Linked DNA regions of Drosophila melanogaster. The protein of the gene in region 1 purifies or fractionates together with the protein of each later gene. This does not show direct contact. Each region holds a gene or a part of one and is shown on either strand. Other genes may lie near its edges.

Evidence for each region. The genes of interacting proteins can lie anywhere in the genome.
Region 2: the proteins of Rab30 (region 1) and Gdi purify together in Drosophila melanogaster (affinity purification with mass spectrometry, with the first as the bait; one large-scale study listed by BioGRID). This does not show direct contact.

Annotation. Positions count from the first base shown.
Region 1 is NT_033779.5:7,030,817-7,034,571, forward strand, and holds the start of Rab30 (Rab30), read right to left. Parts: upstream 1,791-3,755; 5' UTR 1,421-1,790; intron 1,362-1,420; 5' UTR 1,290-1,361; coding exon 618-1,289; 3' UTR 1-617. Other genes in the region: caper, read left to right, coding at 2,149-2,202.
Region 2 is NT_033779.5:9,492,791-9,496,545, forward strand, and holds the start of Gdi (GDP dissociation inhibitor), read right to left. Parts: upstream 2,087-3,755; 5' UTR 1,826-2,086; coding exon 1,432-1,825; intron 314-1,431; coding exon 1-313.

The DNA of each region.
Region 1 (3,755 bases):
CGATCCATAATCAGATCAATACATACGTCTATATAATACAAATCAAGAAAATCAGGCGGTCTTAAACACCTCCAATGGAGTTCTTGTAACACAAATATTTAGCATCCTTAGTCATTGACAGCTAGTTTCCCATAGGATCTTAATCGTGATAAATAGTAAATTAGTTTTTACAATCAATTTCTTTCTGTAAACCAAAGGGGATACAGAAATAATCAATTTTTTTAGTCTTGTAATTAAAATAATAAACCCTTAAGCATGAACAGAATATCACGATAACAGATAACAGATTAGCTGCACAGTTTCCAGATCCGTTTGCACATTGTACTTTAAATGTTTGTTGTTATCGTAGTTTAGTGAAAGCGAAGAGAATTGCTCTAAATACCTTTACATTTAAAGGTATTTGAAGCCGATGTGTTTTAACAATCTAATAGGAATCGTTACAAAGACAAAGGCAAACGATCACGTCATAATCATGCTTATAAAAACAAAATTTAACATATGTATGTATGTGTTAGAATGTGGGAGCATTGTGGTAATAAAAGATAAATGGAATATCACGATTAGTCCTTAACAAGTTACAGATTAGCTGCTCAGCTTCCAGTTCAGTTTGCAGCTGCTCAGCCGCCTTGACTAGAGTTGGAGCCGCCGCTGGCGAGTCCGCCACAGCAATTGCTCTGCGCTGCCTTGGCACTGAAGCTCCCCAGTCCGATGGAGCTGCCCTCCGACTGACGCTGGGCGGCTGCCGCTGCGGCCGAACTACTGCCATCCTTGCTCCTTGCCTGACCAATCAATTCGGCGGCAATCTCGTAGAACAGACGCTCTACATTCTCTGCCTCCTTGGCGGATGTCTCCAAGAAGTACATGTCATGCTGCTTGGCGAACTCTTCGCCAATCTGGGTGGGTATCTCTCGATCATCCCTGTCCGTCTTGTTACCCACCAGGATTTTGAGTACCTTGGAGTTGGCATACTCCTGGATCTCGCGCAGCCAGTCCGGCAGGCAGTCAAATGTGGGCTGGCAGCTGATGTCGTACACCAGGATCAAGGCGTGAGCCGATCGATAGTAGCTTTGCGTGATGGATCGGAACCGCTCCTGGCCGGCGGTGTCCCAGATTTGTAGCTTGATCTTCTCGCCCTCCACCTCCACGGTCTTAATCATGAAATCCACACCAATGGTGGCACCCTGGCCAGGTGGAAATAGACCCTGAGTAAAGCGGCGCACTAGGCATGTTTTTCCAACACCAGCATTGCCCACCAGGACGATTTTGAACAGGAACTTGTAGTCCTCCATTGGGGATGTTGCCAAAAATGGGTTGGTTTTGGGGTTTTTGAGTCGCTGGGTGTGGGCAAGTGTGTGTGTGCTCTGCGAAAGTAGACGAAAGTTAGTCGGAGCTTAGACACACCTAGTCAGCGACGCGTAACGATTATACTTTGCTGGCTGGTGGTGGTTCGTTGGATCAGCTTACGCCATCCCCAGCGAAGACAACGCCTCTCACCTGTGGCTCACCTGGGGCTCTATCACTAGCTGGCCAACGGCTGTTCGCCTTGTTTTTTGGCTTATTTGGCTAAAAGATGATGACTCAACAGCAGCTGTAGATGCTTGTTACTCGCTTATCTATGCGAATCGGCCCCAAATCTATTCAGCAGGCTTTCGGCCAGGTTGACTATGCTTGCAAATTTGTAATCAACTGGTTGCATGCTGCCGCATTAATTGCCAGCCTTAATTTTGCTTATGTTTACCAACAGAATTTTACTGTATTTCGACGTGATGGTATTTGATTAGAGATGTGACATCAATTCCCATAGCAATACTTAACGATGTTTTTCTCGGTATCGATAGATCGACGTTTTGCAAAGCACTTAAAAACTTTTTGAAGTACGGTCACTAGTTATCGATTGTTCATCATCGATAAGTTCTGTGACAACCCTGAAGCCGAAAACAAGCAGCCACGCTAGAGAAGAAAATCTGGTTGAAAATTGGCAAAAATTCTAATTAAAAAATCGCAAAAGCCAAAAGAGAAGTTCGTAAGTCGTCCTACGAATTCCGCTGTGCGTCCCCACCACATTTTGATTTCTCCAAACGTGCCAGACACCGAGCAGGGGACTTTTTTCACGGAGCACCCCGAATTGCAGCGAAGTAATTTTCGAATATGGCCGAGGACTTTGATGTGGAGGCGATGCTCGAGGCGCCGTACATGAAAAACGTAAGTTCCCAAAGGCCGGATAACAGCCAACTATCGTTTAAATTAAGTCCCACTGGCTTTTGTGCCCACCCAAGGCAATTATTTTGCTGTGCAAAAACAAAATGAAAAAAAATAGAAAAACAGTTACTTCATATGTATGTTTGTATACTTCTTTTCCCACATAGACACCCACAGGCGTACGTGCATTTTGTGTTTGTATGTAAGTCGTCTTCGTCTCGGGCACACACACACACACACACACATGTGCAGTCGATGCATACTAAGTGGTCTTAAATCGATTTTTAGCCTAATTTTGCTGTTTAATAAAAAATCGGCAGCCGGAACGCCAATCTGCGTGCTGATTTTCGTAATATTTTTTTTTCACACTAGACTGCGTTCATACAGAAAAGTGTTTCGCCAACGGAAAATCTGTCTGTGTGTGGGTTTGTGTTGTTTATTTTCCTACGCGGCATTTGATACAGTCGTGTACTGCAGTGGGTGTACAGTGGGGTGCAAAATATTTGGCAGGGCTGCAATAGCAACTGAAAACGTTTAACAAGTATCAGGGAAACTTAAAGGATTGAATTACTAACAAGACAGTCATGATTCTGTAAACTATAAAAAACAACGTATTTTAGTGATATTTTATATCTCTTACTAAACTTGGACTTTAATCTGTATTATTGACTGAAACGGATTTTGTAGCAATTGGTATTCCTCTTATCTTATCTGGGCAAACCATCTGTAATAATATTTATTAATAGGTTAAAACTCAGCCATATGAAATCATACTTGAAAAATCTCAATATATTATAAAATAATTTGTAGGTTAGCAAACCACATTTTTCCGTAGCATTTACAAATGCAATTTTCGGTGTGTTGTGGAATAAATCTAATAAAATTATCATTAATTAACCCAAAACCAAAATCAGCATTATTGTCCGACAGCTCGCCAAGGTTTTAGTCAATGTAGTAGTCTATGACATCCAGCTAAAGTTGGAAATTAATTGAATTGAATTCTTTCGCCCCAAACCAACAACTCATGAGTTCAACGCTCCTATTTCTTCCTATCTGCTGTCTCACTAAGAACTACCGACAACTACCCACACACAATCACCATTAAAAAATACAAAAAAAAAAAAAAAAAAAAAAACCAAACAAAAATGCTAGAATAATTCTTAAGGGTGAAATGTCTTTGCAGAGAATCGAATAAGCTCAATATTGTTGCTAGAGATTGTTTTGGTCATTCTAAACACAAAAAGCTGGAGACCATTTGGTAAGTTTTGAATGTGCCAGAAGCTGCGAAAAAAAACCAATTACAAAATTACAAAACAATAAAAAAAAAAAACCAAAACATATCTAGGCATTTTGTATAAAATATGATTTGTTTATGTTTGCGTTTTTTTTTTATGAACACAATCCAATTGAAATCGTTACCTTACTGCTCTATGTAAACCAATGAAACTGAACGTGCACTAAATTTCAGATATACTCCTCCTAACTTGTCTGGGGCAGCAGGCAGCACTACTACTACTCTCACTCACAGTCAGACAAGAATGAAAGTATCGCTCAAA
Region 2 (3,755 bases), 2.5 Mb from region 1:
CCCTGGGGCAGCTCACCCAGGCCGTACATGGGATAAAGGTAGGGCGACTTGCCGTAACGCGCCAGCGAATCGGAGTAGAGCTTAATCCGCCGGATGGTGTTCACGGCCGGCTCGTTCAGATACTCATCGTCGCGGAAAAGGGCCAGGGCGTGGCCGGTGAAGTCCTGCGTGTTCTTGTCCAGTCCGAACTTGTCGTACAGACCCTGCATGTTGGCCTTGGTGGGGTCAAAGTCCTTCCAGGTCTTGGGGTCATCTTCTCGGAAATCCTGCACGTAGATGAGGAAGTTCCGGAAGCGACGCTTCTCGAACATACCTGCAAGTAAAGTCACATTTATATATGTATATCCATAATGCCATATTGGTCAGTTTGGGGTTCAGGATCTGCATATAAAGGGAGTGCACGAGCCCGAGGGTTTCAAGTTTCCCGTTTCCATTTCATTTGCATGCCACAAACACTCACATACAGACACTCACTGGGACAACAGCACGCAACTACAGTGGGAAACCTTCAATTTAGGGGGCGGAGGACACACCACCAACAATCAGAAACCACTTGGCCACCCCATGACGTCATTCCGAGCATATGTGTAATGCGGACACAGTGAAGCATGGACAAGGTGTTTAACTTTCAATTAGCAAATTGAGACATCCAATAGGTATTGTTACAAACGGAAGTAAAATCTACCTAATAGTCACATTTTCATTGAAAATTTCTATTTTATATGCAAATTATTGATAATTAAAGACAAAAATTAAAAAATGTAGTACATCTAAAGTCATGAAATGTTTTCGTTTATAGGCAATCTCCACTGTAAAGTGAAGGGGGTTCAATGCGCCTGGCCAAAAACCTGGTTGCAAAAACTAAGTAAAAATTGAAATGGAAAAATTCAAGAGCCAATCATAAATAAATAGAGCGTGTTTTAGCTAATTGCATTGCTGCCACGAAGAAGAGGGAAAAACTTAAATTTCAAACAAAGCGAAATTCAGGTGTAAAATGGAGGCGACCAATTAGCGGCAGGTGTATGAATCAGCGCAGAGCGATTAAAATTTCGACTCCAATCGGAATAGGGCGATAATAGTTGGGCCAACAAACATGGTGTGGAAATGGATATGTGTGGGGGAAACTTTGGTAGAAATTCTTTGGCGAGCGAAGAAAACAACTGTTTTTCGGCACACACATACGTGTCACATTAAAAAAAAGGGAATAACAACAACAAGAGCTTTGCCAGCGAGTGAAAAGGCAGACAAAGAAGAGAAGAGAAAGAGAGTGGTGCGGGCGAGAGAGGGGAAGCAGATAACAGTCGAGTACGAAAATACATACATACAACCACGCACACACACAAGCACAGCTGGTAATTTGCACAATTTTTCGTGGGGGGCTCACCGCCAAGCAAAAAGGCAACGGGACTTAAAAGAGCATTATTAACGAACCCATGAGATCGGATGCCAGGGCCTCCTTTTGGTCCACCGGCACCTTGGCTATCTTGCCGCCCTTGTAAACGTAGCTGCCCTCGATGGACTTGAACTCCAGATAGCGGGTGACGCCCGTGTGGATCAGCAGCTTGACCAGCTGGCCATTGGCCATCAGGAACTTGGGGATCAGGTCCACGTTCCAGTCGCGGCCACGCCCAAATCGTTCGCCGGGCGGCTCCAGTCCGTAGCGCTGGAAGAGCTCCTCCAGCGGCGTTATCGAGGCGGACTCGCCGCCGTAGTACTTGTTTCGATCAATATGCAAAACCTTCTTGCCGGACACGGACAGCATCCCGCTGAGGATGCACTCCTTGAGGCCCGTTCCTAGCACAATCGCATCGTATTCCTCATTCATATTGGATCGCACTTATTTATATATTGCAATCACAGTAATTTATATATTTTTTTTATCCGGTTTTCGCCCTTTTCACTTGCTGCGACGTTCGATTTGGTGGACTTTTCTCTGCGCTCAATAATTTTTCTCTACTCGTTCGCCTTTCGCTCGTCCGCTTTGCGCTGCCCGTTTGCCGTCACGCCGTTTGCTGGTCACGTTACGTTACGTTTTCGTACATGCCCAGGGCTGCATGAGAAAGAGTTGCTATCGGCTGCTAATTGTACATGGAAATAAGGAAATAACCAAACAAGCATATAAGATATTTAATTTGCACACAGAGCATTAATGTACGAAAGATTTAGAGACGTGTGTGCAAGATTTTTGAATTGATTATGATTTTGCAAAAGTTTATTTCCTAGATTATTGACATTTCAGGGCTGCATGTCGCGCGCGCAAATTTATAGTTGCAATTTAAATTTGTTAAATGCATGTGTTGGTCTTGCATAAAGCAAGACATTATAAAATAACAAAACGGAGGATTCACAGATCGATCATATAAAATATAAAAAGATATTCAGCAATTATTGTAAACAGTATTTGAACGCTGTTTACCTATCGAGTTTTAAGTTACTGGAGATCTCTATTTATATCATATCTCACGCATTCGTTCATTACTTTTTATTTTAAAGAGAATACAATATAAGCAATTAGACTTTTCAATGTATGTAATAATTTCAAGAAAACCAACATTTGCGTACATTTATTATCGGAGACACGATAGACATTTATTCCGAAACTAGGGGCATTCTTCTTACAGCTGTTAGCACAGTTAGCGAGTCTGGCCACATCATCCCGAAGCCTCTGCAAAGTTTTACTGGTGATTTTGGTTGAAACGACGAGCCGATTCGGACGCGATTTTTGTATCGGGTTTATTTAGGTTGTTACGTTCTCTTCGCGTCGTTTCTTGTTTCTTTGTTTCGTCGGATTTTCGCGCGTGCAGCGAGCAAGGAAAACTAATCATACATAATCATACATTTTCGTGGAGCAAAAACACACGGCAATGTAAATGTTTGATTATATTTTCATTTAAAACGGAGCCAAACAACTGTGTACTTGTGTGAGTGTGTGTGCGTGCGGTGGCTGCGTGCTTGTGTGGAAAAGTGAAAATGCTATTTGGGCCATAATTGTATTGAAATTCTTAGCAACAACAACAAACCAAACCTCGAGTTCGTGGCAAAAAATAAGTTCGAAAAAAAAGACGAAAACCCCAACAAAAGGAAGTGAAAAAGTGAGCGGCTCAGGGATTTTTTATGCTGTGCTCCAAGTGAAATAAAGTCTTTGGGAAATAATTATTTATTGTAATTCCTTCGCTGAGGAAACATACAAAATAGAAAACAAAAAGATAATCTCCTGTCCCGCTCACACTTTCCGCCTGACCTCGGTTATCATATGTTACCTCCCTGTTGTTCTTGTTGTTGCTTTGAATGTGCTGCAACATTTTTGTATTGTTGCCATGCTGAAAAGTTGTTTTCATCCCCGTGTAAAAATAGTTTCAAACAAAAAATATAAAACAAAACCCCCACGAAGGCAAGGATAAAATAACCGCAGGCAATTGAATTGATCGAAAAACAAGCATAAATCCACGTCTACGATTTTATTGGGTAAGTTTTTCGTTTAAATCAAGTTGCCATATTAAAAATTGCACAGGCATAAAGTCGGAGGGAAAAAACATAATAAAGCACAGACGGCGGCAATCTACAGAAAAAACAAGTTGGTTGCCAAGAACCAGTTAGGCGTTGCAGACCAACTGCCCCGCCCACCGCCCTCGGCCCCCATCCTCCCAAAATATACGACGGGTTTTTTACCTGCTCGCATCCATCTCGCTCACTCATTCACACAGCCTCCGATCGTTCTGGCTTCTCCATCCTCTTTCCCCTTCTATCTCTCTCTC